4 linked regions of the Lepisosteus oculatus genome follow. The main gene of each other region encodes a partner of the protein of the gene in region 3 in a complex. Links are inferred from orthologs where the notes say so. Each region holds a gene or a part of one and is shown on either strand. Other genes may lie near its edges.

Region 1 (7,583 bases), on a different chromosome or scaffold from region 3:
TGGACACTACAGTACATTAACACTGCACTGAGAGAGAGGGGTTAATACAGACATACTGACTGGACACTACAGTACATTAACACTGCACTGAGAGAGAGGGGTTAATACAGACATACTGACTGGACACTACAGTACATTAACACTGCACTGAGAGAGAGGGGTTAATACAGACACACTGACTGGACACTGCAGTACACTAACAGTATTTATTGTTGTAGTCTTCTTATTTATTGTTATTGTCATCCTGTAAAGCGCTTTGAGAAGCCACCTTTAAAGGCGCTATATAAAATAAAGTTTATTATTATATTATTATTACACTGAGAGAGGAGTTAATCAAGACATACTGACTGGACACTACAGTACATTAACGCTGCACTGAGAGAGAGGGGTTAATACAGACACACTGACTGGACACTACAGTACACTAACACTGCACTGAGAGAGAGGGGTTAATACAGACACACTGACTGGACACTACAGTACATTAACACTGCACTGAGAGAGAGGGGTTAATACAGACACACTGACTGGACACTACAGTACATTAACACTGCACTGAGAGAGAGGGGTTAATACAGACACACTGACTGACTGGACACTACAGTACACTAACACTGCACTGAGAGAGAGGGGTTAATACAGACACACTGACTGGACACTACAGTACACTAACACTGCACTGAGAGAGAGGGGTTAATACAGACACACTGACTGACTGGACACTCCAGTACATTAACACTGCACTGAGAGAGAGGGGTTAATCAAGACATACTGACTGGACACTACAGTACATTAACACTGCACTGAGAGAGAGGGGTTAATACAGACACACTGACTGGACACTACAGTACATTAACACTGCACTGAGAGAGAGGGGTTAATACAGACATACTGACTGGACACTACAGTACATTAACACTGCACTGAGAGAGAGGGGTTAATACAGACATACTGACTGGACACTACAGTACATTAACACTGCACTGAGAGAGAGGGGTTAATACAGACATACTGACTGGACACTACAGTACATTAACACTGCACTGAGAGAGAGGGGTTAATACAGACACACTGACTGGACACTGCAGTACACTAACAGTATTTATTGTTGTAGTCTTCTTATTTATTGTTATTGTCATCCTGTAAAGCGCTTTGAGAAGCCACCTTTAAAGGCGCTATATAAAATAAAGTTTATTATTATATTATTATTACACTGAGAGAGGAGTTAATCAAGACATACTGACTGGACACTACAGTACATTAACGCTGCACTGAGAGAGAGGGGTTAATACAGACACACTGACTGGACACTACAGTACACTAACACTGCACTGAGAGAGAGGGGTTAATACAGACACACTGACTGACTGGACACTACAGTACATTAACACTGCACTGAGAGAGAGGGGTTAATACAGACACACTGACTGGACACTACAGTACATTAACACTGCACTGAGAGAGAGGGGTTAATACAGACACACTGACTGACTGGACACTACAGTACACTAACACTGCACTGAGAGAGAGGGGTTAATACAGACACACTGACTGGACACTACAGTACACTAACACTGCACTGAGAGAGAGGGGTTAATACAGACATACTGACTGGACACTACAGTACACTAACACTGCACTGAGAGAGAGGGGTTAATACAGACACACTGACTGGACACTCCAGTACATTAACACTGCACTGAGAGAGAGGGGTTAATCAAGACATACTGACTGGACACTACAGTACACTAACACTGCACTGAGAGAGAGGGGTTAATACAGACACACTGACTGGACACTACAGTACACTAACACTGCACTGAGAGAGAGGGGTTAATACAGACACACTGACTGACTGGACACTACAGTACATTAACACTGCACTGAGAGAGAGGGGTTAATACAGACACACTGACTGCGTAAAGCAATACGCAGCACTATACAGTACATCACCCTAAAGTGTCATACAATGGAATACTTCAAAAATACTCTAGTATGTTAACGGACACTGTAGTTTAGCACATTACTACACAGTACAGTTACAGTACAGAGACACTGACTGAACACTACAGCACATCCAGGATCAATCTTCAATATCAGTCAGTCAGTGTGCAGGAGGTTGCACTGTATAGTAGAGTACAGCACTGACCTCTCGTGCGTTTCTCCACTTTGCGCCGCGCGTGAATCACTTCACGCAGCACACACGCGCTGCGATAGGACAGCACATCTGGCCGCTCGGCAGCCTCGCGCTCCGAGCCGGGGGCTGAGTGGGGCTGGGCGCTGTTCGCGTGGGAGGGGGCGCGCGCGCGCGCGCGCGTGTGTGTGTCTGTCTGTGACAGCGCTGAGGTTTTGTCGCGCAACATCGAAACGCGAAACTCCCGCACCACACGACCCCGCAGTGTTGACGGGGCGAGGGGAGGAGGCCACGGCTGTCAGAGCCGTTATCTCAGAACACGCACGGCTCCCCCCGCCGCCGTGCAGTACCGCTGGCTACACGCCAGGGGCTGCCAGATGTTAACAGCTGGCGAGAATCTCCGCCTGCCAGTTAAATTGCGAAAACAGACAAAATCAAGGAATGACACGCACGCAAACACACTAAACACACGCCGCGGCTCAAACGCGACAGGTTGCCCCCTGCTGTGCACTGCGATTCGTTCCGCGCGCCCGAACCGGCAGCCCGAGGGGTCGCACCCCTGCAGCCGGGATGACGGGGAGAATAACATCGGGGTCTCTTTTGTTTTCTGGGCGGCTCTCATTGTGTCTCGGCTGAATCGCTCAGCCGGATTCAAGAATTCCCCCCGCCTCACCCAGCCCCCTGGTCTCCGGAGCTCTTTTTCAAAAAACACCCAGACATGGCATTGAAAAAGGGGGGAAAATGAAGAGGTACCTTTTTGTAATTCTTGCCCAACCAAATGCGGACATTGTCGAACTGCGAAACCGTATCGGACGCCTCGAAATATTTAACATTCGGGCCGCCGTCTTTCTTCCGCACCGCCATCTTTGCTGGGTCGCCTGTAGACAGAACAGGGGGAGGGGGATCGGGCGCCACCTGGCGGCTGCTCGGCGGCGCTGCGGGTTTGCGGCCAGCCGCGTCCAGGGAGAGGAGGTCGAGGCGAAACTGGCGCCATCTTGGCTCCGGTACCGCGGCCAGACCCCCACAGTGAAAAAGGAAGGAGTTAGATCCAACATGGCGCATCCTGCCGCGCAGTTTCTCACATAAATCGTCTCTCCTCGTGAAATACCGTCTTTATTAATTCGTCATAGAGGATTTTATCATAGGCAAAAAAAAAATGATTGCTGGTGTCATAAACAGAACGAGGAGGAAAGACGAGCTTTTTAGCACTAAATATTTATTTTTTTTGCCATGTGTAAGTGAGTGTGTGACAGACGTGCAGTTTTAAGGTCAGAAAAGGACAGTCTTCATTTAAATAATTGACTGAACATGATTGACTGTGGGTACACAACAGTGAAAAATACAATAGTCCCCCTTGAATGCAGAAGAGCAGTAACAGAACTATTAAGGATGAAGTAATATGTTATCAGGGACAATAATGGACAATAGACAGCACCAGGGAAATAGCTGATGTGCCAAGATAAGGTCAGATCACTTTATTGGGCATGTACAGTTTCTTGCATTAGGAATTTGTCTTTTCACAGACCCCAGCTTGCTCTCCCTGAGACACACAGACAGGGAGAGAAGCTGGGGGTCAGAGCGCAGGGTCAGCCATTTACACAGCACCCCTGGAACAGCTGGGGTTAAGGGGCTTGCTCAGGGGCCCAACGGAGTAGGATTTCTCTGCCAGCTGCAGGATTTGAACCAGCAACAGGCGCAGATGCTTAGCCACAGAGCCACTGCTCTGCCCAAAACTTGTGCCGTAAGCTGTTATGGGACCCGAATCATCTAGACAGAACATCTATCGACATCTGCTGCACCGATGGGCTCCTAAAGGAGGAAGCCTGCCTCAGTAACACAGTGAGGAAGCACACAGTTGTATTCAGTTCTGTCAGCACAGGGTGACACGCTGGGGCACTGGTCAGCATTGCTGCCCACTGGCACTGGGGTCCAGGGTCGAATTCCAGACCTGGGGTGCTGTCTGTGTGGAGTCTGCATGTTTCCTTCGTGTTCCTGTAGGTTTCCTCCAGCTGCTCCAGTTTCCTCCCGCAGTCCAAAGCCATGCTGGTGGCTTGTGTCATGGCTGGCCCTGCTGTGAGTGTGTATGTCTGTGATGGACTGGCGTCCCGTCCAGGGTGTACCCTGCCTCATGAAGTGGGTAGAAAGCGGATGGGTGTCTTTGTCCAGAAGAGGCAGAAGTGTTTTTTAGTACTAGAATGACGAAAGATGAATAAATCCCCATGACTCAGTGGTATTGTACCGATTTCACTGAAGGAAATGAGAAATGTGGTTCAGAAGCCGCTGACACAACTCTTCGGACGCTCACTCAAGGGAGGGGTCGCACCCAGGCACTGGAGAGCTGCCAATATAGCACCCCTCTTTAAGAAGGGTGACTGAACCCTGTAGGTAAATATGGACCGATAAGTCTGACCTCTATTACCTACAAGATATAGAAGAAGGTAACAGACCCAAAGTAAAGGTTCGCCTGCAGTATGTGGTAATAATACCCATGGGAATAGACAACAGGACTTAGACCAGGGAGGCCTTGCGTGACTAAGTTGTTACAGTTCTCTGATCAAGCAACAGCAGAACTGGATACGCACAGAGCTTAGGAAAGAGTGTATTTAGACTTTCAGAAGGCTTTCGATTAAGTTCCATCATTAAATATTAATTTCCAGATTAGGGCATCAGGCTTTCAGGGAAATGTGTGTCTGGATTTGGAACTGGTTTACTAATAGAAAGCACAGATTACAGATGAGGGGTTTATGCCCAGACCTTGGTAGTGTCTTTAGTGGAATGTGACCAATTCCAAATGGGAGGACATCCACGCACCTGGTCCGTGTGGCAATTATTAGCTCATTGATATGAGGATCTCATCCGGCTGTTTCTTGAAAGAACCCAGGGAATCAGCTTCAACCACATGGCTGGGTAGCTTGTTCCACACTCCCACAACCCTTTGTGTAGAGCGTATGGAACAAGCTGTCCAGCCATGTTGTTGACCCTAATTTCCCGGCTTCTTTCAGGAAGCAGCTGGATGATGACTTCCTCAGATCAATTGGCTACTCACTGCCTAACGGGCCAGAGGGGCTGAGGGGCTCTTCTTTGTAACAGGTCTTGTTCACTTCTCTTCTTCAGAGATAATAATAATTGCTTACACTTATATAGCGCTTTTCTAGACACTCCACTCAAAGCACTTTACAGGTAATGGGGATCCCCTCCACCACCACCAGTGTGCAGCCATAGTGCGCCAGAACGCTCACCACACATCAACTATCAGTGGGGAGGAGAGCAGAGTAATTAAGCCAATTTATAGAGGGGGATTATTAGGAGGCCATGATTAGTAAGGGCCAATTGGAAATTTGGCCAGGACACCGGGGTTACACCCCTACTCTTTTCGAGAAGCGCCCTGGGATTTTTAATGACCACAGAGAGTCAGGACCTTGGTTTTACGTCTCATCCGAAGGACGGCGCCTGTTTACAGTATAGTGTCCCCGTCACTATACTGGGGCATTAGGACCCACATAGACTGCAGGGTGAGCGCCCCCTGCTGGCCCCACTAACACCTCTTCCAGCAGCAACCTTAGTTTTTCCCAGGAGGTCTCCATCCAGGTACTGACCAGGCTCACACCTGCTGAGCTTCAGTGGGCTGCCAGTTGTGAGTTGCAGGGTGATATGGCTGCTGGCCATATATATATACAAATAAAAATATACATACAAATAAAAATAAGTAATCAATAGTTATATAGTGTTTTTGTGGACACTCCATTCAAAAAGCTGTACAGGTAATGGGGACTCCCCTCCACCAACACCAGTGTGCAGCCCCACCTGGATGATGAGACAGCAGCCATAGTGCGCCAGTATGCTCATCACACACCAGCTCTCAGTGGGGGGGGAGAACAGAGTGATGGAGCCAGTTCAGAGATGGGGATTATTAGGAGGCCATGATTGGTAAAGGACAGGGGGAAATTTGGCCACGACATGGGGGTGCAGGGGGGATTGGGGTGGAATGGTGGCTCTGTGGCTAAGGGTCTGTGCCTGTGGCTGAAACGCAGTGCGCTGACACCCGGAGGCTGTGGCAGGGATTACAGTCAATCACAGGCTACAAGGGCTGCAGCCAGGAGATTGACACGAACAACGCATCCCTGCCTGACGAGCTGAACCATTTCTATGCCCGCTTTGATGCTCTGAACATGGGCAATGCTGAGAAGACCCCAAGTGTGCAGGGCAAGTTTGTTCTGAAACTCTCAGAGCAGGACGTGCAGAAGACTCTGAGCAGGGTGAAAATCCATAAGGCTGCAGGGCCTGATGGGATACCACCTCGCGTCCTGAGGACATGTGCAGCCCAGCTGACCACAGTGTTTACGGACATCTTTAACTCCTCCCTGTCACAGTCCATGGTCCCCACCTGCTTTAAAAAAAACACTATTGTTCCAACCCCCAAAAAGGCAAAAGTGACATGCCTGAATGATTACCGCCCAGTAGCATTAACATCTGTGGTGATGAAATGCCTGGAGAAGCTGGTGTTGTCACACTGCAAGGAGTCCCTGGACCCCTTGCAGTTTGCCTACCAAAACAACAGATCAGTGGATGATGCTGTCTCCCTGGCTCTGCATACAGCCTTGGAACACCTGGACATTAAGAACTCGTGTGTGAGAATGCTGTTTGTGGATTACAGTTAAGCATTCAATTCCATCATACCCAGTCAACTGGTGACAAAGCTCAGGGGATTAGGTCTGTGCAACTCTGTCTGCAACTGGCTGCTGGACTTTTTTATCGAGAGACCACAGGTGGTGCGGATAGGCTATAAAACATCACCACTCACCCTGAGCACTGGAACCCCACAAGGCTGCTGTCTGAGTCCAAGGTTGTACTCCCTATTTACTCACGACTGCACAGCAAGACACAGCAACAACCGCATCATTAAGTTTGCCAATGACACCACTATAATAGGACTGATCAGTGATGATGACGAGTCCACTTACAGGGATGAAGTTGTACAGCTGCTTAGGTGGTGTCATAGCAATAACCTGGACTTGAACATAAAGAAAACGAAAGAGCTTATAGTGGACTTTCGGAGACACAGGCCATACACTCACAGCCCACTCAGTATTGATGGAACGGAGTGGAAACAGTCACCAGCTTTAGGTTTTTGGGAATTCACATCTCTAAAGATCTAACCTGGACTGTGAACACTGACTCTATCAGGAAGCAACGCCTTTATTTCTTGAGGTGCCAGTCGTGGGGGATGCCAATACATGTGCTGGTGAACTTCTACTGCTGCACCATCGAGAGCATCCTCACCAACGGGATCACCGTGTGGTATGGCAACACCTTTTCTCGAGAGAGAGAGGCACTGGAGAGAATGGTCAATGTGGCCCAGAAGATCATCGGCTGCGGTCTCACCGAGATTAAACAGCTCTATGAGGACCGCTGCCGTGGTAGAATTCTGGCCATCACAGAGGACAGTCAC
Region 2 (7,819 bases), on a different chromosome or scaffold from region 3:
ACCTTATTTAAAAAGACTGCTTGCCTTTATCCACTGTTTACATACTTAAATGTCAAATTGTGTATGTGCACTTTTGAGCTAATCTTATTTTTTTCAAATATCACAAGGAAAACATGATAAATGAATATTTCGGGATTCATGTATACATAAAGAATGAAAATAAAACAAAGGGCTAAAGCACAGACAGTTCACTGTTTGGGCACACCAGGTTACAGAGCCTTAAAAGCAGCCCAATTCATGATTTTCTTGAAACATTGCCTTAAAAAGAGTACTGCCAGAGGAGACTTTAAAGAATGCAAAGAAATGAATTGATAAACTTCAACCCTTTTAATAGATTTTTCAAAAAAGCAGTTGACACCCTTAAGTTATTAAACCTCATTCAAACTTACTCAGTTTTCTCCTTAAAGCTAAAAAAATAATTAACTTCCTAAAAGGATACTTAACCCCCTACTCAAGCACTCAAGCACTAGAAGGAAGACATTATTGATTTGAAAATAGTGACATTTATAAATGAAATGAATTAGCAAAAAGAAGAAAAACTATTTTTACGTTACACACTTTGGATCACATTGGATTAATCTTTCCATAAGAATTCAAACACTTTTCCTTATTATCCTAAGTTATAGTCATAGGTGGAAACGCTAAATTCAATGTCATCTCCTGATACAATACACTATTGTATATATATGGAGGAAATGAGTTCCAAAGAAGAATGACCAGTTATATTCCGGAGCTCATAGGAATGTCCTACCCTCACAGGCTGACAGAAAATAATATTTCTTGACAAAAAAACTACAAGGAAACCTGATTCAAGTACAGTATTTAAAAGTCAACCCAACGGACTCCTCCAGAATCAGTACTAAACAAGACGACACAAGTAGAAACCATGGGGAAGTAAATTTAAAACTGAAATCAGGCTGGACTTTATAACAATAAAGGGCTGTGGGAATATGGAATAAACTACCCAGCCATGTTGTTGAAGTCGATACCCTGGCTTCTTTCAAGAAATTGTTGCATAAAATCCTTGGATCAATCAGCTACTAAAAACCAATGACCTGGGCTGAATGACCTCCTGTCTTTTTATAACAACCATATTCCTTCCTGTATTGAACGTGGGTTTGCCTTCTGTGGTTTAGGCATTTCCACCTAAGAAAGTCAACCAAACAAGCTCTCGTGTCCATTTTTATTAAATTGTTGATTATTGATTTGGGTCTAGATGTGGGCATAATCCCAGCATGTAAATGACAACATTACGAACATATGTGCATCATCACCTTTATACAAATATCATTTTTTCAGGCCCCAGTAAATTATTATACTAGCAAATTCACAAAGTTAGAAAAAACTAAGTATAATTATGTTTTTCCTCGTTTCCTACTTACCTCCACACTCTAACTGGAAATGTAACAGATACATGCATGTTACAATACGCTGAAGTCTGCTTACTTTCATCCTAACTTAAAATGTCACACCTGGATAATAAGCAGCTATCAGCTTCTGCAAAATGATACTTATATCGTATATATTTTTTTACCATTTGAATTACACTTTAACAAAAATTAAAATGAGGAAATGTTGCATTTAAACTCACAGATAACTAACCTTTACACTTAAAAGAAAACAGTAAACAGTCGGAAGCTTGAACTATGCGAGGCGCGACGGTAATGAACATTTTGTTTTCCGATTGACAATATTTGTAGTTTGGCATTTTAAATGTAAGAATCTTTTTTAGTAGAAGCCATTCGCGTTCGAAAAACATATCAGAACCACCACTAGTCACGACTCAAGGCGGTATCTTGCTACAAGTCTCTGAGTTTAGTCAAACTTTCTGAAAAGCACTCTTTAATTTATATGTTCCACAAAAGGGGTAATACTAATAGCAGGCTAACAGCATCTACAAAGTCGTGTCTGGGACAAAGGGTAGCATTTAATTCTTAGGTAATCCCGTTTACCCTTGAAACTAACAATCTGCTCATTTGCTTGATGTCATCTTCATACAGTAAATGCCAACAGTCGATTCAGCAATCTAATCTTTCAACTATCCTCCACCCCCACCAATAACAGCAGTTCACACCTCCAGAGAAAGCGACCTCCTGTTTTCCTGCTCTGTGGGGAATAGATACGAGCAACGCACGCACAGACCAAAAGATAAATTTTAAACCCGAATCTCGTTGTAATGCTATGGTCATACCGAATGGCTTAAGCTTTTCCTGTGACAGAAAAACATTTACTGCTTTGATGTTTAGAATCCGTGAACCATCGTGAAATAATTATGGTAAAATCTGTGAGTTTGCAAGAAACCGGATTATCAAACGGCGTTTAAAAGGAAAGTCTATTGCATAGAGCGTATCAGACTGTTCCGTGAAAACCTAGTTAACAAACTTTTTAAAAAGTACAATCATGCAGCAAAGGACCTGCGGAAATAATCAGCGGTTCTGCACAAAGGTTATATATATTTTAAAAAGAGTTCTGATGAGTCAATATGCTTAATCCTGCAAAAAGACTTTCCTACATGAACAATACGATTTTCGCACGGAAAACAGCTGTCGCGCTTTGCAAGTACAACGAAGAGTGAAAATATTAACTTTTTTATTTTTTGTGTGTACAGTCTGATAAAAACGAAATCGCGATCCGTTTGTATAAATGTCTTATTTCGGCATTTTTTAGAATTCGTTCAACGGCTTTGCAACACGTTCTGCTTATCCCAGCGTGATCATGCTGCACTCTACGTATCGCACCAAAAATAATAATACAAAACTATTTAAATTATTATTTGTCAAGATGTATGGGGAAAAATAACACAAGACAAAACGTACGCGTGCCCTAACAACTGCATTCTGTTGTGAGTTTCTATTTGTGTTGCCTTTCTTTGCACGGTGCTCAAAAACAGAAACAGAAAAGTTCGCAAATTATAACTGTATTAAATTTTGAGAATTACTTACGCTTTGAGTGGATTCTGAATGACAGTCGCCATTTTGCTACACTGTAACCCAATATTCTGTGTCTCAGAGTTCTGAGGGAACCCTACGAAAAAAACGTCCAATCAGCGCCAACGTGTCCGACTCACTGGCCAATCCGAAATAAGAAATTCAAGATAAGGCGTGGCCTACGAGAATAACTGTCAAGTCCATTCGAAGGGGGTGCGCTCTTTTGTACATTAGACCAACTGGATACCTCATCTCTTAAAGAGACAAAGCAAAAACTATCCTCGTATTGTTAACTTGAGTCCCTACTAAATCAAATAAAAGTACTAATTATCTTATCACCCATACTCAGTTTGAGGGGACGAGGGGTTGTTGCTTTGTTTCGTACCCGTTATTCCTTTTATCTTCATTAAAATACATTTAATGGCTAAAACAAACTAATTGTTTCCAATTCCATCACTGGATGATAAAGCTCTTTTCGTGTGCTTCTTTCCTAGCAGCTATTAGAAGCAGCGAATAAATCTATTATTCGTATTTGACGTCCCTGGATATTTATGCAACACAAATGTTCAGCATTTTCAAGTCAACAATACAAAATTCATTTAACTCACAGCATTGGTCATTTCTGTTTTTATGTAAAAGCTGAGTGTCTACATTTCTATGAGAAAGAGGCATATTGTAGTTCGTAAAAGATTTGCAACTCGGGTCAGCAGATCAATAACACTGGGGACAAAAGTTACAATTACAAAGCAATAACGACGTACCAGCCGCAAAGCTATTGACTCAAAACGCAACTGTGAGTGCGGAGGCGGGGAGTTGTTAAAATGTTGTACAAAAATAAAATAAAAAATACAGTGTGAGAAAGCATAACGGCAAAACTGCCTTCAAGCATTAAATTCAGTTCATGAAGTCACAGAGAACACCGACTTCAATTAAATATTACACTAATACACGTGTTCCTTTTTCAGTGTCGTGTTTTACCTTTTTAATGATCGGTTATTAACATCCTTTGTTTACCTTAATTCTCAAATAGCACAGAACCTGTTTCATGCGAGCCAACAGTACTACCACATTACAATACTGGACACACTTCTGTGCTCAGAGCAAAACAGCAAAGCCGCCAGTGTAATTGATACGCAGGGAAGTCAATCACGTGCTCCAGGACGCCACGCAGCGTCAGAGATGGACCAATAGGAGACGAAAGGCGGGGCTGGCGAACATCACGTGGTTGCAGCGTTGTGGCAGGTAAAACAGGAAAAGCGAATGTTGCTGTCTTTTAAATATTTTTTTATTAATGTTATTTGGTAATTTTAAAGTTCTGATCAATGGACTTTACTTTGTTTGTTATAGTTTGGACAACCTTTGAGGGGATTGTATCTTTTTAGATGTGTATTTTAGAGGGGCTTTATGAAAATAGGATCATTGATTAAAATCCTTAAATACAACTGGTAGATACTTCATGATTACGATTGAGATATTCACAATGATTGAAATTTAGTTAAAATATGTAGCTACAGTATGTGAACCACTATAACTGTGCGTTTAATATATTTTAATAAACAACTGCTTATCCTTTCATATTGATTTTGATAGGATTACAGCTGCCCTTTGTTAGTTTTGCTGTAATGGGTATTTTACCTTATTACGATTGGAATTGAGTGTTGTTTTGCACGATACTGGCAACAAAAAATAGAAGTAATTTAAGTGATGTGAAGTGATTGCGGTACGTTTACGTAGTTAAGGGTGTTTTCTGTGAACACATACCAGTGGGACTTCATTTACACACTGTCAGCTCAAAAGGTAAACCTTTACGCCATAAACCTGAAGTGTACTATGTCCGATATCGGTGGCATATGTACCGATTGAAATTTACGTTATTGTGTTATCTTTTATCCTAGAATAGGCTGCCATCACTTATCCATTTATTGTATGATTGTATGAAGCTATTACAGTAGTTGCTCAGATACTTTCATTTGCTTTATAAGGGAATTAGTCAAGAGATACGTCAATTGAGGGAAAATAATTCTCATCTACAAAGAAGAAACGGGACTCAGAATCTCAGAAACAGAATCTCATTTTAAGGGATAGGTACGCGCAAATACACCATGAATTACATGCATATTGATGGTCTTGTCTTTGACGGACTGCTAGCGTTCACTGACGGTCAACGCCATGGATGTTCAGTTCTTTAAACAAAATTACGTTTAATCATAACCGTAGTATTTATTTCAATTATTTTACCAGCACCAGCTGGCTATATGTATTCAGTGATTTACCTGCATATTTCATAATGAAACAATCGAGTTATGAATCCAAACCTTTACCCTACTAATGAGGTTAGAATGTTTTTTAATTATACCGGTCTAAGATTAGAAAACATCAAATCAGTAACAGGGTTTTTGATACAAGTAATGAGCAATTCCCTTTTTTTCTTGAATATTCAGTGTACATTGACTGATTGCACCTTACTGTTTCTTGATGGAGCTAATTTATGTACAGTTATCTTCATCCAATAATTCTTGTTGCTCGATGAATGGAAATATGTAAATATGTTGCAAGAATATATCAGAATTGTGAAATGGTTCAAATTTTAACAGCTTCAGGATGGGCTTTTTGAAAACTCCCAAGATTTCTGCAGCCCGCCACCTGGAGCCTATCCTGTAGGCATAGATGGTATGCTTGGGCCCAGTGGAGAAACCCTGGACAGCACGGCAGTCTTTCAGAGAGCACAGTGACACACGTTAGAGACACCAGTGATTAGTATTGTCACGGGGTGGTGTAAGGAACCTGAAATACCTGGAGAACATCACTGTGAATACAGGGAAAACATGAAAGAGGCACCTTTCAGAAGGTGATGGGAGCGCTAACCGCTATGCTGTTGTCAATCAATCAATCAAAGTTTCTTTATTTAATGCACAACAATACAGCATGCAGCAGTAGTTGCTGGCAATGAAATGTCTTATCTATGAGCTCACCGGGGGGGTAAAAATCACAAAATTAAAGTGACAAAATAAGGTTACATGATGACAGATAATAGTGCGATAGAAATAAACTCAGACAAAACTCTATAAATAGAGCTGCTATGTGTCCAGGGTTTATGCAATATATTATGTCCAAGTAGTGCAGTATGCTGCATACAGTGAAAACTGTATGTCCATGTAGCCATTATGGGTGATTTGCTGAAGGAACTGCAGCTTGGCTGTTTAGCAGTCTTATTGCCTGGAGGTAGAAGCTGTTCCGTAATCTGTTGGACTTTGATGCTTTGATACCGTTTACCGGACGGTAGGAGAGAAAACAGTTTATGACTGGGGTTCTTGAGAATGGACCTGGACTGGAGCAGCTCCCATACCAGGCAGTGATGCAACCAGTCAGGATACTCTCAATAGTGCACCTACTGTATAGAAGCTGGCCTGGATATGTGACAGCATGCCAAACTTCTTTAGCCTGCGGAGAAAGAATAGGCCCTGCCGTGCTATTTTGACCACGGTGTTGGTGTGGTGGGTCCAGGTTAAGTGATGTTAACTCCCAGGAACTTAAAACTGCTGACCCTCTCCACTTCACTTCTATTGATATGAATAGGTATGTGACCTGCTCCCTGATGTTTCCTATAATCCAAGATCCTCTCCTTAGTCTTACTGATGTTCAGAGAGAGGTTGTTCTCCTGGCACCATGCTGCCAGGGTTTCAACCTCCTCCCTGTACACAGACTCTTCACCATCTGTGATCAGGACGATGACTGTTGTATCATCCGCAAACTTAATGATGGAGTTTGAGTTATGCCTGGCGACACAATCATGGGTAAATAAGGAGTAGAGGACAGGGCTAAGCACACAGCCTTGGTGGGCTCCAGTGTTTAGAGTCGTGGTAGAGGATATGTTGGTGCCCACCCTCACCACCTGCGGACTTTCTGTTGAGAAGTCCAGGATCCAGTTACAAGGGGAGGTGTTCATTCTCAGGTCCTGGAGCTTGATGACAAGCTTCAAGGGCACTATGGTATTGAATGCTCAGCTGTAATCAACAAAGAGCATTCTCACATATCTTCCTTTCTTATCCAGGTGTGAGAGGGCAGTATGAAGGGCAGTGGCAATAGCATTCTCTGTTGGACCTGTTCTGGCGATACTCAAATTGTAGTGGGTCTAGAGTGTCAGGCAGTGAGGAGGTGATGTATGCTTTGACCAACTGCTCGAAGCACTTCATGATAACTGATGTGAGTGCAACGGGGTGGTAGTCATTAAGGCAGCTGACTCTGGGTGTCTTAGGGACAGGGACGATGGTGGTTTTCTGAAAGCAGGAAGGAACTGTAGACTGAGCTAGAGAAAGATTGAATATGTCCGAGAAGGCATCTGCCAGCTGCTCTGCACATGCCTTCAGAACACAGCCAGTGATAGCATCAGGGCCAGGGGCCTTGTGTGGATTGGTCTTTTTAAAAACTTTACATACATCCGCTCTGGATATGATCAGTGGGTGTTTGCCCTGGATTTCTGGAGTCCTCCTGGCTGGATCGGCGTTACTGACCTCAAACTGAGCATAGAATGAGTTAAGAATTTAGTTCCTTTTGTGTTTTTTATTTGTCCTTTTGCAAACGTTTAAAAAACTCGCATTATTTTATCACATTATTTTTGGTGTCTTAAAGAGAACAGAGGGCAGCACTGTGGCACAGTAGTTGGCATTGCTCTGCTGCAGCGTTGGGGGCCCTGGGTTTAAACTCCAGCCCTGGGGTGATATCTGCGGGAAGTTTGTGTGCTCCCCCTGTGTTTATATGGGTTTCCTCTGAGTGCTTCGGTTTCTTCTCACACTCTACAAACATACTGCTGGGTTCATTGGCTTCTGATATAATTTGGCCAGATGTGAGCGTGTGTCCGTGTGTGGGCCCTGCGATGGACTGGTGTCCAGGGT
Region 3 (7,406 bases):
CAAGCGCGGCCGGCCCGCCGGGCGCTCGTCGGCAGCTCCCCGCACCGCGCCGGGGTTCACGCCGGCGGAGAGCGCAGGTCGCCCGCGTCTGATACAGCCCGCCTGCCTTTCTTCTGTTTATTTGTTGTTTTTCTGGGGGGGGGTCCTCCACCCGAGAGGCCACAGTCGTTATTGACTTGATCGACGTTATCGATCCGCGAAAATTTTACTACGGCGATGCCGGGGCTCGGCCCGCCACCCACCGACCGCCCGGCCCTGCGCGCTGCCCATTTAACGTCGCTTTAAAAGACGGCCCCGTACGCCGTTAACGGCAAGTTGATTAAAGAAAAGCAAGCCTATTATAATGAGCGAAATCCTCGTTGTGTGTGTGTGTTTTTATCCCCCCCCCTCTCCCAATATACACGTATGTAAAACGCACGTTAGTACACAACTCGCCACAGGACGGGCCTGAGATTCAAAGAGTGACGGCCGATCTCTTAAATATCATATAATTTCCCAGTCGCAGGCGAGTGAAATGTACTTAAAAATATTATACAAGAAGGACACATCCGATTTATGAATATTCATCACGCCACATTTATAATACTTTATAAGTTTAAGCGGCGGACGAGAATGTTCCTGGGGACGATTCGTAATCCTCCACGAGGATCAAACGAAAGAAGGACGGGGGAAAAAAGCTGTAAAATATATGTAAACAGTAATATAACGTAAGACACGGGTGCGTTTACGTTCAAATACCTGATTATTATGAAGATCTTTTGTGCATTTGCGATCACGTAAGTCACCTTGGACAGAACTTCCAGCCCCCGTCCTAACTTTAAAATCTAATAACAGTCGACATCACAGGAGAGAGGGGTGGACGCGAATAAATCCAGATATTTTAAAGAAAAAACACCGCCAACAACAACAGTAGCAGCAGCCAAGCCGGTACGAAATAAAGCAACAACAACACCCCCCCAAAAAAAAAAGAAAAAGGAGGGGAAGAGAGGAAAACAGCCATTTGATTTAGTTACACGGAGAAAAAAATGTGCGCTCAGCACGTTAAAAAAAAGTCAGACATGACGAACCCACTAGGTTTTGCAACTACAACCAGACGATAAACACAGACCTTCAGCATGAGCTTCCCGAGAGCACGCCGTACAAAACCGAGAAACATTTACCTGAGGTCTACTGATAACTTGTCCAGTGTTGCCAGGACTCATGACAGGGTGATTTCTCTGATGTCCTCCCCAGCCGTGGGCTGTGGACCCGTACTGGGAACTCGCGTCTTTGCCCAGCCCCACGCTCGCCTGCTGCTGTGGCGGCGCGGCGGGGCCACTGTACTCGGGGTAGCCGCCGCCGCTGAAGCCCCGCATCATGGGGCTGGGGGACGTCAGGAGCTGGTTGAGAGTCGGGGTGGCCCCGGACGGGTGCTGGCTCTGCCCGGGGAACCTCTGAAACCCCCCCACGCTGCCCCCAGGAGCCGAGGCAGCAGCCATAGCAATCTTGCCATGGCCAGCAGCGCTGCTGTGGCTGTTGCTGCCTGGGCCCATCAGCGTGTGACTCCCCTGCCTGGGAGAGCTCATGATCCCATAGCCTGCGCCGCCGTAGCCCGGTCGGTAGCTCGGGTAGTGGTTGTACTGGCTGTTGTGGTACCCTTCGTGGGAGTTTTGAACGGAATCCATGCTGTTGGGAGCCGAAGGATGCATTATCCCCATCCCAGGGCTTTGTTGTCCGCCATGTTGATCAAAGCAAGGGCCTCCTCTAGCGTTGCCATAATAATTATTAAACTCGGGAACAGTGCTAGTCGTCCCCCCAGCACTTTGGGGCTGGCTGCTGTTGTTGCTGTTGCTGCTGCTGTTGTTGTTGTTCGCTGGTCCCAAGTTGGCGTGCTCGTACCTGCTGCCCATCTGATCCCCCGATTTGCAGGCACGGCCCTCCTCTTCACTTTTATTCAGCAGCGGCTGCTGCTGCCCGACCTGGTTTCCCAAAATATGCTCTTTCCCTCCATGTTGCCGATTCTCCGCTTCCCCCGGTACCTGCGCCTGGTTGCCGCCGCCGCTGTTGCTGTTGTTGTTGATGTTGTTGTTTTGGATTTGGTGTGAATGGAGCTGCTGGAACTGACTGAATCGTGGTGGCTGGGGCTGTGTCGGTGTGTGATGGTGAGACGGAGGAGGGGGATCTCCGCCACCAACATTTTTCAGTTTGTGATTCGCTATCAAACCCGTCTCCATGCTCGAAGAAGTAGCCGAATTTGAAGAAGATAAAGATGCAGCACTATTGACGCCCTCCTTCTCTCGCAAGTCCGAAGTGTTATTTGCAGAAGAAGAAGTTGTATTGGCCATGCTCAGCTCGTTATGGTGGTGGTGGTGGTGGTGGTGATCTACATTATTCATAGTGTTAGTTCCATCTCCAACTCCCAGAATTGCTCCCGATCCCTGTACCGTTCCCCCTCCCGATTTCCCAGAGTTTAAATCCTGATTCAGACCGCCGGATAAATTGGGATTTTTACTACCAGTCGTCGCCGGAGATGTTGTCACTTGCGCGGCCATGATCATTTCAACATTTCAGGCAGTAATCCAAACAGGCTTAGACCGAAAAAAAAAGAGGGAGAAAAAAAAGAAAAAAAACACACAGAAGGAGGAAAAAAAGGAGAAAAAAACAAGAGAGAAGTGCTCAAATGAACGAATATCCCGCAAACCGTAAAGTTCTGGCTGTACTCGGAAACGATACTGTCTCACTGGCTCTGCCTGCTCCCGCGGTGTGATTTCATGTTGAAAGTTTTTGTCCAGGTTTTAAATGAAACTTTTCTTCCTTTCCTCTCTAACCCGGATATGGGTAAATGCATGTCTCCCTGTGTCTCTCTCGCCCAGCATGGCACAAGAGAGAGAGAGGGCTCTTGCAACTATTATCCTGCTCTTTCTTGCGATTCGCGTGGAAAACGCGGACTGGATTTCTAGCCTCACCCACCGGGCTGGCAAATCCCACGTTGACCAGCCAGCGGTGTACGCGCAAGCCTGGGACGTGTTTGACGCAGATTTACTCTTTACGGAGTAAAATCAAGGATGTTTTTTTTTCTCCAAAACGGCCGGGGGAAGTCGGTTCGATCATGTTGTGGGGTATTAACAACAAACGCCCCCCCCCCATACACGTTGCTGGTTAAATCATATATATAAATAAACTTTATTTTTATTTGGCACCTTTAAAAGCGGCTTCTCAAAGCGCCTCACTGTGCAACAACAAAACAAAATTAAAAAAAAACATGAAATATAAGCACGAGTGTGCAAAGGAGAAGAGGTAGTATATGGGGTTACAGTAGGAGCAAAGAGGTACATAACAGACCCGGTTTAAGTAAAAGTCCTTCTAAAAAAGGTTTTGAGTCTTGATTTGAAACTCTTTAAAATCTTCATTGAAAATTGTGATTTTGATATGTTTTGAAGTATTCCTCCTACAGAATGTTAGCCAGAGGCAGAGGGGTTTTTCATAGTTGCCTTTCTCAACCACAAAGAGCAACACGACGATGAACCGGCTTTTAAAGGTATATTTACACATTTCCAGTTTTCCTCTGAGTGTGTGTGTGTGCTGTTCATCTCCAGACCACACAAAAGACCCCTCAAAGACTGGTTTCTGTGCTTTTAACAGCCTCTCAGTCGAGTAGGAAGCAGAGTGTAAAATGAACAATATCTTTATTATTATTATTGCACTTTTTGAACTCCATTATCTCGAGAATATCAGGGTGTTGCAGAAGAGAGTACGTAAATAGGCCGCTATTCAAAAGGTTACCGTAGTAAAGTACATACACAACATCATCCCTATAGTTTTGTAGTGTTTGGCATACATGCAGTTTACAGTACTTTAATGACTTTTGGTACCAAGTTGCTACTAAGTGTGAAGTGTATGTCTCCTTGAAGCAGTTACATTAATATGCGTTTTAAAATAACGACCTACAAACTACAATTTAATTTTACACTTAAATGAAATGCTTTCGTCACAATAGCAAGCGTATTTGGTCAAATTCGGCATTCAAACTAAACCTTATGACACTGTAACCGCGACCGCCCGACTCCTGCTGTCCACGATCCCTCGGCTGGGGGATCCGTGCTCCGTGCTCGGAGCTCCAGTCCACGTATTCCCTGTCTCCTTTCCCCCAGGCTCAATTCATTTTTCTGCAGCTCTGAAGAGTCAGGCAGTATCACACGCAATCACAGGATCTCAGCTTTAATATGTACACAGAATAACCAGTAACTTTAAACAGTTAGGAACACTTTAGTCGGGGACGTTGCATTGCCAAGAAACGACAGACTACGGCTGGGAACCGTGCGGCAGGAAAAGCCGTGGCGAAACGCGTCAACTTAAAAATAAAACGCGTTTCCATCCCTCCTTTATAATCGGCAACATTCCTAGTTTTTAGAGCATTTTCTCAGTCCCTGCCTGCGTGCTGTTCCGTCCACCCCCCTCCGCTGAACGCTTCAAACCGTGTCTCGGGTCGACCGTGTCATAACAAGAGAACACACTTTTGCCTAACAAGGAAGCTGGACGCCCGCTGCGTTTCTCATCACGCTTTAAACGCAGGGCCTGCTGTAGGTTTAGCGATATATATATATAAATCTCTTTTTTCTTCCACGAAACGGAAGCACGGGGAGTTGCTCACAGCCGCCGCGCATACATCATAGTTGTCAGTAGAACGAAGGTGACGTCATCCCCGGGTTAAAGATGCCTCTTTTGTTCTGCCGGGTTACGTCCTCTCCCGCTCTCCCCGGGACTGCTCTCTAACTACTACCTACCCGACGAGCAAAACCGACAACAGCAGAAGTCCCGCGCACGTTGCACGATTGAATCGCGCGTGTTTCCACCACCCAGCCAAAAGCTGTGAAATATAATAACGAGCGCAGCTCAGGCTCCTGAGTCATTTTGATTCCGAGCCCGCTGGGTTCTGCTGACGCGGGAAGGTTAATTGCCGTTCCTGCCTGGCTGAGGTGACTAGTCTCAGTGATCAGAAGGGGGCAAGGGAACAAGACACCTGCAGAGGAGGATAAAACCAGTTTCCTGGGCCAAACCAGGATGGGTTGTTGACACGGGCAACAGCAGTAGCGCCATATTTTCAAAACACGACCTGTTGAGGCAAAGCCGTTGGCTGAGACAAAAGAGAAATTTTGTCAATACGTGTTAGCATGATAAACAGGAACACAGTGTTACTGGTAAAGCTGCCTTCAGGTTTAACAGCCTGGGCACATCACCCTGCAACTCGCTCAGAAAAACTAAGGTTGCTGCTGGAAGAGGTGTTAGTGAGGCCAGCAGGGGGCGCTCACCCTGCAGTCCATGTGGGTCCTAATGCCCCAGTATAGTGACGGGGACACTATACTGTAAAAAGGCACTGTCCTTCGGATGAGACGTAAAACCGAGGTCCTGGCTCTCTGTGGTCATTAAAAATCCCAGGGTGTTTCTCGAAAAGAGTAGGGGTGTAACCCCGGCGTCCTGGCCAAATTCCCCCAGCATGGCCTCCACATAATGGGCGGAGAGGTGGCTCTGTGGCTCAGGATCTGCGCCTGTGACTGGAAGGTTGCCGGTTCAAATCCCGCGGCCGGCAGAGGAATCAGAATCCTACTCCGTTGGGCCCCTGAGCAAGGCCCTTAACCCCAACTGCTCCAGGGGCGCCGTACAATGGCAGACCCTGCGCTCTGACCCCAAGCTTCTCTCCCTGTCTGTGTGTCTGTGTCTCCATGGAGAAAAGCTGGGGTATGCGAAAAGACGAATTCCTAATGCAAGAAATTGTATAGGGCTAATAAAGAAACATTAAAAAAAACATTAACATTAATCCCCATGTATGAAGTTGTTTCATCCCTCTACTCTGCCTGGGAGGATAACTGGTGTGTGGGGAGTGTACTGGTGCACAATGGCTGCCGTCACATCATCCAGGTGGGGCTGCACAATGGTGGTGGAGGGGATCCCCATTACCTGTCAAGCATTTTGAGTGGAGTGTCCAGAAAAGTGCTATATAAGTGTAAGCAATTATTATTATGTTTGGCAGTTAACAGCTAATTGATTCGATGATCTCAAGATCTCAACGTATCGGCTTCGGTTACGAAGTTCTAGACACCCACTACTACCCCTTGTGTCTAAGAGGCCCCTCCTGTAATCAGGGGGTGCACATGTACAGGACTTCCTTGTCCTTGTAGTTTCCAGTTGTGTGCTCTGGTTGCGGTTTCACTGCTGTTTCTCGAGAAGTTCAGTGGGCTGTCTTGGCCTGTGCCTTTGAAGATTTTAAACACTTTGTAGTCGCCTGTGTTCAAGACAAAATCGTTTCATTTCTTTCAGCCTCTCTGTGTAGACCACTCCTTCAGGCCCAGCCTCTAACTGGGCCTGTAAAGTATGACAAGCCCTATATAAAGAGAACTGCTACTACTTGGCTATCATGTGTTTATTGTCCTGTGTGTTTATTGTTCTGCACTACCCATTGTATGTTGTGCTTTGTGGTACTATTACTGTTTTGTAATGTACTGTTCACATTGTGTGAAAGTGTTGTCTATTTTACTGTGCACGTTCCAAGAGAACAGCGCAAACACAAATCCCAGTGTACATGCACACAGAGCAAATACTCTCCTCTCTCGCTGTAATGCAGGTAGGGATGATTCATTTGGATTGTTCCAGAAATATTATTAGGTTCTGGAACATCTCTGGGATTCTAATGAACACCAATTCATTCAAAGGCATCGTGGAATTAGTAAAACACAAGAAGAACATTTGTTTACTTCTCCAGCTGAAAGTAAGTTTTGTTTTATGGTGGATCAATAGCTATAAATGACTGAAATCTTTCAGGAACTTATTGTCTGACACTTTGCCCATTAGCTACAGTATTTGTCCAAGAATATAAGAGCAGTGAGACGAGGATTAGAACTGTCCAATTGCTTCAGTGGAACAATTGTGCAAAATTTACATTCTTAGAGCTTCTCTGAAATTTAAAGTGTGTTTGCATTCTTTCACAATTAACTCTGTAAAATACTTATTTTGAAGAAAATATTGTTTACTCATTTCAATTTCATTTTAATGTCATGGTATGACATTATTTCTTCTACATATGCCTATCTTGATATCTAAATCACAAAGTTTAATTTTCATTTGTTATTATTCCACATCTTATAATGTTATTGGTTATTTAAAAGCATTGCAGACATGTATTTCAAAATATACATTGGACAGTTTTATTTTAAGAACGTAACAGAAACGCGTGTGTAAATGCATATGTTATGTCAAGCATAAATAGATTTGGCTTAAAGACTTTTCAAAGATCTTTCAGCTGTTCGGTTCTTGAGTCGGCAGGTGATGGATACTGAGAGCAGACCTGTACACTGTATACTGTATTTGCAGAGATGTCAACAACCATTAGTATCTGGAAAATCAGAAAAGCCCCCTGGTGGCAGGCTTGTGAA
Region 4 (7,718 bases), on a different chromosome or scaffold from region 3:
GCATCGACAGCGCCGGCGTCATTAGCGTGACCGCTGTAGGAGCAGGCCTGGATCAGTACTGCAGTGTCTCAGTATCCGTACATATCAGCTTCAGTGTATTACCAGTACCTGATCATGTCAATTTCGGTGTGTACCAGTTTCTGTACATACTAGTCTCCATGTGTATTACTATCATATTTCAAATCTCGACATAGTTTCAGTATATATAGATCAGTACCAGTATTATCAGTATCTGTACATATAATTTTCAGTATAGATAAGTATACGTATGTATCATTTTCAGTTCAAAGCATATTAGTATGATTATGTATTGATATATAATTAATATTTTATATATTAATTGTATATTAATATGTAATGATATTATATATTGAGTAGGACACATCAGTGCAGACTGCAGGAGCGACACTCGGAAAGAGTGTTTTCCCCGGCTGGCCACTAGGGGGAGCCCCCCTGTGGTTCGAAGGTACATGGCTCCTATTGATGAAGCTGCAGTGGGGTCGTGGGCAGGCGGCATCACGCACTCATGCCGTTCTTCAGCGGGGACACCAGCTCCACCCCGGGGCGGGCCACGTGCAAGGCGTTGGTGTCGATGTAGAACGTGCGTCCTGACGACTTCTCCTTGTCCGCCCCCAGCTCCGCGCCCCCTTCCTCCTGGGCCAGCACTCCCAGGGAGGTGGGGAAATCCGCCTGGGCAGAAGGAGAGAGGGAGGGGGGGGTGAGGTGAGGCCAGCGCGAGAGACAGAGAGGGGGAGGGGGTGAAGGGGACAGTGGGTACGAGGTGAACGGCAGTGCTGCTGGAGGAGGGCCAGCGAGGCAGCTTGACCACTGCAGCGCAGTGGGGCTGGGACCTCACATGGCAAGAGGCCATGGGGAACGCCCTGCTGGCGACGTGGACAAGTCAGGCTCACGCCAGGGCCCGCCGTGCGGGGCTGTAACAGCGTCCAGACAGAGCCCAGCCCTGAGGTGCCCCCTGGCGTGCACTCTTGTGAACCACTTTTCTCATAGTCCCAGTTCTACACGGATCACGATGCACTGCTCGGGGGGGGGGCGGTTTTTCACTGCGTGCTGGAAGGGGCTGACTGGCACTGGAAAACCAGCAAGTGTTCAGCTTATCCTCCGGGCAGGAATGGCCAGGGCGGAGAGAGGGGTGAGCGGGCAGGAGCCGCGCGGTACCTTCGGGCAGTCCTCGCCAGCGTAGCCCGCCCTGGTGGAGAACGAGCCGATGTCAAACACCAGAGCCCCGACCTCATCTGGGGAGGGAGAGACAGGGAGAGGGAGTGAGACAGGGGCACTCCTGGAGACAGGGAGAGGGAGAGACGGGCAGAGAGGGAGTGAGACAGGGGCACACCTGGAGACAGGGAGAGGGAGAGACAGGCAGAGGGAGAGAGAGACAGGGGCTCACCTGGAGACAGGGAGAGAGAGTGAGACAGGCAGAGGGAGAGAGAGACACCCCTCTCTCAGCTGCAGGTAAGGAGGTGTGGCTGCTGAGCTCTCTGTCTCGCTGGGACCAAGTGGTCCTCGAACCCTGAACCCTGACAGGAATCAGCCCCATGCTCAGCTCCAGACGATCCTGCCTGAACCTGAACCCGGGGACCCCAGCCTGCTGGGTGAGTGTTCCCACTCGTCACTGGTCCTCTGCAGTTTAGCCCAGTTGGACATGACTGGAGCAACAGTCACAGGCTGGGCAAGGGACAGCGGGAGTTGGGTTGCTCAATAGCCATTCTTTCCCCAAGTCATCCGGATGATTTGGAGGGATTCCAGGGAATCTCCTTCAACAACAACAACAACAGCGCTGGGGCTGCTGTTCCACACCCTCACCAGCCTTTGTGTAAGGATGTGCTCCCTGTTCTCAGGCTTGTCTACACATCCTGGTGGGGCTGCACATTGGTGGTGGTGGAGGGGAGTCCCCATTACCTGTAAAGCGCTTTGAGTGGAGTGTCCAGAAAAGCGCTATATAAGTGTAAGCAATTATTAATTATTATTACACATCCGGTTGTGCCGTCGTGTTCCTGACATAGAACAATGTTCTGGGTTCAGGCTGTCAGCAACTGACAGTTGAATTCCTGAACAGCCCCACCTCATAGTCCCCTACAGCGCTGCAGACCACTGAAGAGACTCCGTTCCTTTAACGCATCTGCGGCCGACATTCCCCAATCCCGACACCGTTTCCCCACACGCGCGTGTCGGGATGGACTTGACCCCACGGAACCGTGGCTTTTCCTGCGATGGGAGGTCACCCACGCGGGTCCCCATCCCCTCGCGGGTCCCCCTGTGTCGCCGCACGCTGCCCCGCTCGCCCCCGGACCCGGCGACACAGACCCCGCCACTGGCGGAGACCCCGCTGACAGCAGCGCCACGCACACGGACACAGTGGACAGGCAGTGGAACAAAGACACGGCCGTGGGCACGGGTACGGGTGAAGGCGCAGGCAGCCGCGAGCACCGCTCTGGACCACAGACACCGATGCGGACACGGATGTAAACACGGGCACGGAGGCAGACGCGTTCAGCAGTATATCATCCTGCTGCTCAGCCTCTCGAGTCTGCATTCCGGTGTCGCGATACACGCCAAGTGTCGCACGACATGGACGCGGCGAAGCTCGCGTCCGCCCGCTCGCTCTCTCCCACACCCCCTGTCTCGCTCACGGGGGGGGGGGGGGGTTTATCTCCCAGCCTCGGTCCTCAGGTGTCACCCGTCTCGGAAACGGGTTTTTGCGCGCAGACGAAACGGTCGCTCCTTACCTCCTCCGTACACTCCGCCGCTCATACCGGCGCCTAGACCCACCCCCCCACAAAACGAGCTGTCACATCAATTAAACAGAAACCTGAAAAAAAGAGACAGGAGGTCAGGACAGCTCGGATTTGATCAGATATCCCTAATGCGTAACTGTCGGGTGAAATTACAAAGATCTGTCTGTACAGGAAGGATTTGGGGACGGGGGTCTGTGGATGACAACTGTGCAGAATAAGGCGAAGCTGGACGGCTGAGGCTCGCGCCCCCCCCTCACGCACGAGCACACTCGCTCTTTCTCCCGCTGTTGTTCTTCCTCAGCCCACCAATCACAGCGCCGTGTGGACGCACGCCATTGGGTGGCAAGAAGAAATGGGTGGGCGGACAGGCTGTACCTTAAAGGTTCTGGTCTCCAAGGCAACGAGAAGAATTAATTTCCCCCGACTTCAATTTGCCCGTATTATAACAGGACTGTTCTCCTGTACTGGGACTGTAGCCCCTATTGTAACAGGACTGTTCTACTGCACTGGGACTGTAGCTCCTATTGTAACAGGACTGTTCTCCTGTACTGGGACTGTAGCCCCTATTGTAACAGGACTGTTCTACTGCACTGGGACTGTAGCTCCTATTGTAACAGGACTGTTCTCCTGTACTGGGACTGTAGCTCCTATTGTAACAGGACTGTTCTCCTGCACTGGGACTGTAGCTCCTATTGTAACAGGACTGTCCTCCTGCACTGGGACTGTAGCTCCTATTGTAACAGGACTGTTCTCCTGTACTGGGACTGTAGCTCCTATTGTAACAGGACTGTCCTCCTGTATTGGGACTGTAGTCTCTATTGTAACAGGACTGTTCTCCTGTACTGGGACTGTAGCTCCTATTGTAACAGGACTGTTCTCTTGTACTGGGACTGTAGCTCATATTGTAACGGGACTGTTCTCCTGCACTGGGACTGTAGCTCCTATTGTAACAGGACTGTTCTCCTGTACTGGGACTGTAGCCCCTATTGTAACGGGACTGTTCTCCTGTACTGGGACTGTAGCTCCTATTGTAACGGGACTGTTCTCCTGTACTGGGACTGTAGCTCCTATTGTAACAGGACTGTTCTCCTGTACTGGGACTGTAGCCCCTATTGTAACAGGACTGTTCTACTGCACTGGGACTGTAGCCCTTATTGTGACAGGACTGTTTTCCTGTACTGGGACTGTAGCTCCTATTGTAACAGGACTGTTCTCCTGTACTGGGACTGTAGCTCCTATTGTAACAGGACTGTTCTCCTGCACTGGGACTGTAGCTCCTATTGTAACAGGACTGTCCTCCTGTATTGGGACTGTAGCCTCTATTGTAACAGGACTGTTCTCCTGTACTGGGACTGTAGCTCCTATTGTAACAGGACTGTTCTCTTGTACTGGGACTGTAGCTCATATTGTAACGGGACTGTTCTCCTGCACTGGGACTGTAGCTCCTATTGTAACAGGACTGTTCTCCTGTACTGGGACTGTAGCTCCTATTGTAACGGGACTGTTCTCCTGTACTGGGACTGTAGCTCCTATTGTAACAGGACTGTTCTCCTGTACTGGGACTGTAGCTCCTATTGTAACGGGAGTGTTCTCCTGTACTGGGACTGTAGCCTCTATTGTAACAGGACTGTTCTCCTGTACTGGGACTGTAGCTCCTATTGTAACAGGACTGTTCTCTTGTACTGGGACTGTAGCTCATATTGTAACGGGACTGTTCTCCTGCACTGGGACTGTAGCTCCTATTGTAACAGGACTGTTCTCCTGTACTGGGACTGTAGCCCCTATTGTAACGGGACTGTTCTCCTGTACTGGGACTGTAGCTCCTATTGTAACGGGACTGTTCTCCTGTACTGGGACTGTAGCTCCTATTGTAACGGGAGTGTTCTCCTGTACTGGGACTGTAGCCCCTATTGTAACAGGACTGTTCTCCTGTACTGGGACTGTAGCCCCTATTGTAACAGGACTGTTCTCCTGTACTGGGACTGTAGCCCCTATGTAACGGGACTGTTCTCCTGTACTGGGACTGTAGCCCCTATTGTAATGGGAGTGTTCTCCTGTACTGGGACTGTAGCCCTTATTGTGACAGGACTGTTCTCCTGTACTGGGACTGTAGCTCCTATTGTAACAGGACTGTTGTCCTGTACTGGGACTGTAGCCTCTATTGTAACGGGACTGTTCTCCTGTACTGGGACTGTAGCCCCTATTGTAACGGGACTGTTCTCCTGTACTGGGACTGTAGCCCCTATGTAACGGGACTGTTCTCCTGTACTGGGACTGTAGCTCCTATTGTAACAGGACTGTTCTCCTGTATTGGGACTGTAGCTCCTATTGTAACAGGACTGTTATCCTGTACTGGACTGTAGCTCCTATTGTAACAGGACTGTTCTCCTGTACTGGGACTGTAGCCCCTATTGTAACAGGACTGTTCTCCTGTACTGGGACTGTAGCTCCTATTGTGACAGGACTGTTCTCCTGTACTGGGACTGTAGCCCCATGATGGGCTCAGAGTAAGTTTGGTTTATCATCGCGTGGTTCATTGGCACATTCTACGTCGATAGCCGCATTCCGTCCCCTCAGTGGTCATCTCTGCCTCTGATTGGACAATTCCCCCTGTCAGTCTGGAACAATGCGGTCGTGGTGGGCGTGTCCTGGCAGACTCCGAGAGGAGGCGGACAAGGAGGAAAAGGGAAGAGGGGGGCGGTGTGGAGCAGAGGGGGAGCCGCGAACACTTAACCCCTGCGGCGCCGGAGGCAGGTGACGCGGTGGGTGTTTTTTTTTTCCGGTCCCGCTCCAGAGGAGACGGGGAGGAGGAGAAGGAGGGGGGGAATCGGTCACTCTTGTCCTGGGGTGGACGGTCCCGGGAAAGGCCCCCTGTGTGTGAGAGAGGGAGAGAGGCACGGGCGCGGATCAGGTAAGAGACGCCGGGCGCCGGGCAGCGAGATGACGAGAGGAGCGCAGTCACTCGCGGATCGATACGGGTGCTGCCGCGGTCTCCGTGGGCAGACCTGTCAGTTGCTGCTCACGAGTGGGCGTCCGGCTGGATTGGAAAGTCCGACTGTGTCCGGATCGCGCTCATTATAAGGAGAGCAATTGGGCAGGTGGTTATTTTCGGGTGGGTGTGTATTATTTTCTGCCAGGGTGTCCCAGTCCTGCAGTCCCGTAAATACGCCGCTATTTCATCACCGATTAAAAAGGCGACGCTGTGCTGGAGTGCCCCTCGCCTCCGGCCCGGCCTGACCGGCTGCTTTCTCGCTCCGGGGCATCAGTATCCCTGACGGGCTGGGGCAGATCGTGTCTCTGGGTCCCTCCTGCTCCAACTGAGGGTCCAGTGATCGGCAGTGTGTGTGCATGTACAGTATCTGTGTGTCAGTGTGTGTGAATTCTGTGTGTGCATGGTGTCAGTGTGTGTGTGAATCTGTGTATGTGTGCATGGTATCAGTGTGTCAGTGTCTGTGAATCTGTGTGTGTGTGCATGGTATCAGTGTGTCAGTGTGTGTGTGTGAATGTGTGTCAGTGTGTGTGCATGCATCTATGTGTGTGTATGCATGGTATCTGTGTATCAGTGTGTGTTTGAATCTTTGTGTACATGTACAGTGTCCATGTCAGTCTGTGTCACTGTGATCATGTATATATCTGTGTCAGTGTGTATTTATTTGTCATACTTGTCAGTGTATGCATGTATCTGTGTGTGAGTGTTTGTCCCTGTGTCAGTGTGTGTGTGTATCTATTTGTGAGTGTATGCATGTATCTGCGTGTGAGTGTGTGTGTCTCTGTGTCTGTGTTGGTCTCTGTGTCAGTGTGTGTTGATACCCATGTCACTGTGTTAGTGTGGATATCAGTGTCAGTGTGTGTCTGCGTCAGTGTGTGTCTGTGAGTCAGTGTGTGTGCACCTCTCTGTGTCAGTGTGTGTCTGTGAGTCAGTGTGTGTGCACCTCTCTGTGTCAGTGTGTGTCTGTGTCAGTGTGACGGGAGGCAGATGTCTCACAGAGTGCACACAATGGGTTGTTCTCTGTCTTTCCTGTAGGGGGCAGGGTGAGGAGCAGTGGTTGACAAGGCTGTCTGACCCTTTATCGAAGGGCCACAGCTTTGGAAACGGGTGAGGTGGGATGGGGTGAATTGGAAATCGATTATAGCGCCCCCTGCAGAGAAGGAATCCTGCATATTTCTGGAAGGCTGCTCTGTGATACCTCTTCCTTCTCTTTTGTGCTCTGGACATTATGCTCTCTGTATACGCGAGGCTGTGTAGACTGAGAGAGAGGTGTATTGGAATTTGTGTTTCTGTGTCATTGTGTGTTACCATGTCTGTAAGTGCATCGGTGCTTGCATTTGTGTATCTGTGCACTTGTGTATGTCTGTGCGTGTGCATGTCTGTGGGCTTGAGTGTGTGTGTGTGTTGGACTGATTCTCTCTCCTTCCATCAGCCTCTGCCCATCCATCCAGCCTAGAACCATCGCTAAGGCTGTTGCTAAGCAACCCAGCCTCCGTTACTACACTCCCTAATGAGGCAGCCTGGAGAACTTGGCAGGTGGGCCATACCATTACTGAACAGGCAGGGGGGGGGGGAGGGGGGAGGAGTGTGCTGCTTCTGAAAATATAGGAGCTACCTCCCGTCTGCAGTTGCACATGGTCTTCTCATCCCTTCCCAGCCCCCCTCAACTGAAGAGGAGAGGCGATGGTTCATGGAGCCATGCACACAAAGAGGCAGGTCATATACAGCAGTGGTCATGAAGCCCCCCCCCCGTATCAGAAATGCAGCGGCTCGCCGTCTGAGTTAGTAGGTCCTGTGTGTCGAACTGCACTGGCGTGGCAGTGATGCCTCCTCTGAGTTTACTGAACGCTCACTCATGCCAGCCGGCTGCAGCTGAGCGCTCCAGTGGGATATAGAGGCCTGTGTGCCTCTTTCTGTGTGTGATGATCCATTGATATAAAGTTGCTGACGGACATTTGGGAGGAATGACAGCAGCT

What was found.
Region 1: arid1b (region 3) and smarcc2 share a complex: the UniProt entries of both Homo sapiens proteins name them as parts of the neuron-specific chromatin remodeling complex. The link is inferred for Lepisosteus oculatus from reciprocal best matches to the Homo sapiens genes ARID1B and SMARCC2.
Region 2: arid1b (region 3) and dpf3 share a complex: the UniProt entries of both Homo sapiens proteins name them as parts of the neuron-specific chromatin remodeling complex. The link is inferred for Lepisosteus oculatus from reciprocal best matches to the Homo sapiens genes ARID1B and DPF3.
Region 4: arid1b (region 3) and actl6b share a complex: the UniProt entries of both Homo sapiens proteins name them as parts of the neuron-specific chromatin remodeling complex. The link is inferred for Lepisosteus oculatus from reciprocal best matches to the Homo sapiens genes ARID1B and ACTL6B.

The regions. Positions count from the first base shown.
Region 1 is NC_090696.1:19,696,002-19,703,584, forward strand, and holds the start of smarcc2 (SWI/SNF complex subunit SMARCC2), read right to left. Parts: upstream 3,010-7,583; 5' UTR 2,999-3,009; coding exon 2,888-2,998; intron 1-2,887. UniProt on the Homo sapiens protein: Involved in transcriptional activation and repression of select genes by chromatin remodeling (alteration of DNA-nucleosome topology).
Region 2 is NC_090703.1:15,138,304-15,146,122, reverse strand, and holds the start of dpf3 (zinc finger protein DPF3), read right to left. Parts: upstream 3,003-7,819; 5' UTR 2,975-3,002; coding exon 2,943-2,974; intron 1-2,942. UniProt on the Homo sapiens protein: Belongs to the neuron-specific chromatin remodeling complex (nBAF complex).
Region 3 is NC_090697.1:11,354,846-11,362,251, reverse strand, and holds the start of arid1b (AT-rich interactive domain-containing protein 1B), read right to left. Parts: upstream 3,005-7,406; 5' UTR 2,538-3,004; coding exon 1,161-2,537; intron 1-1,160. UniProt on the Homo sapiens protein: Involved in transcriptional activation and repression of select genes by chromatin remodeling (alteration of DNA-nucleosome topology).
Region 4 is NC_090698.1:10,092,544-10,100,261, reverse strand, and holds the start of actl6b (actin-like protein 6B), read right to left. Parts: upstream 3,012-7,718; 5' UTR 2,770-3,011; coding exon 2,745-2,769; intron 1,254-2,744; coding exon 1,177-1,253; intron 691-1,176; coding exon 525-690; intron 1-524. UniProt on the Homo sapiens protein: Involved in transcriptional activation and repression of select genes by chromatin remodeling (alteration of DNA-nucleosome topology).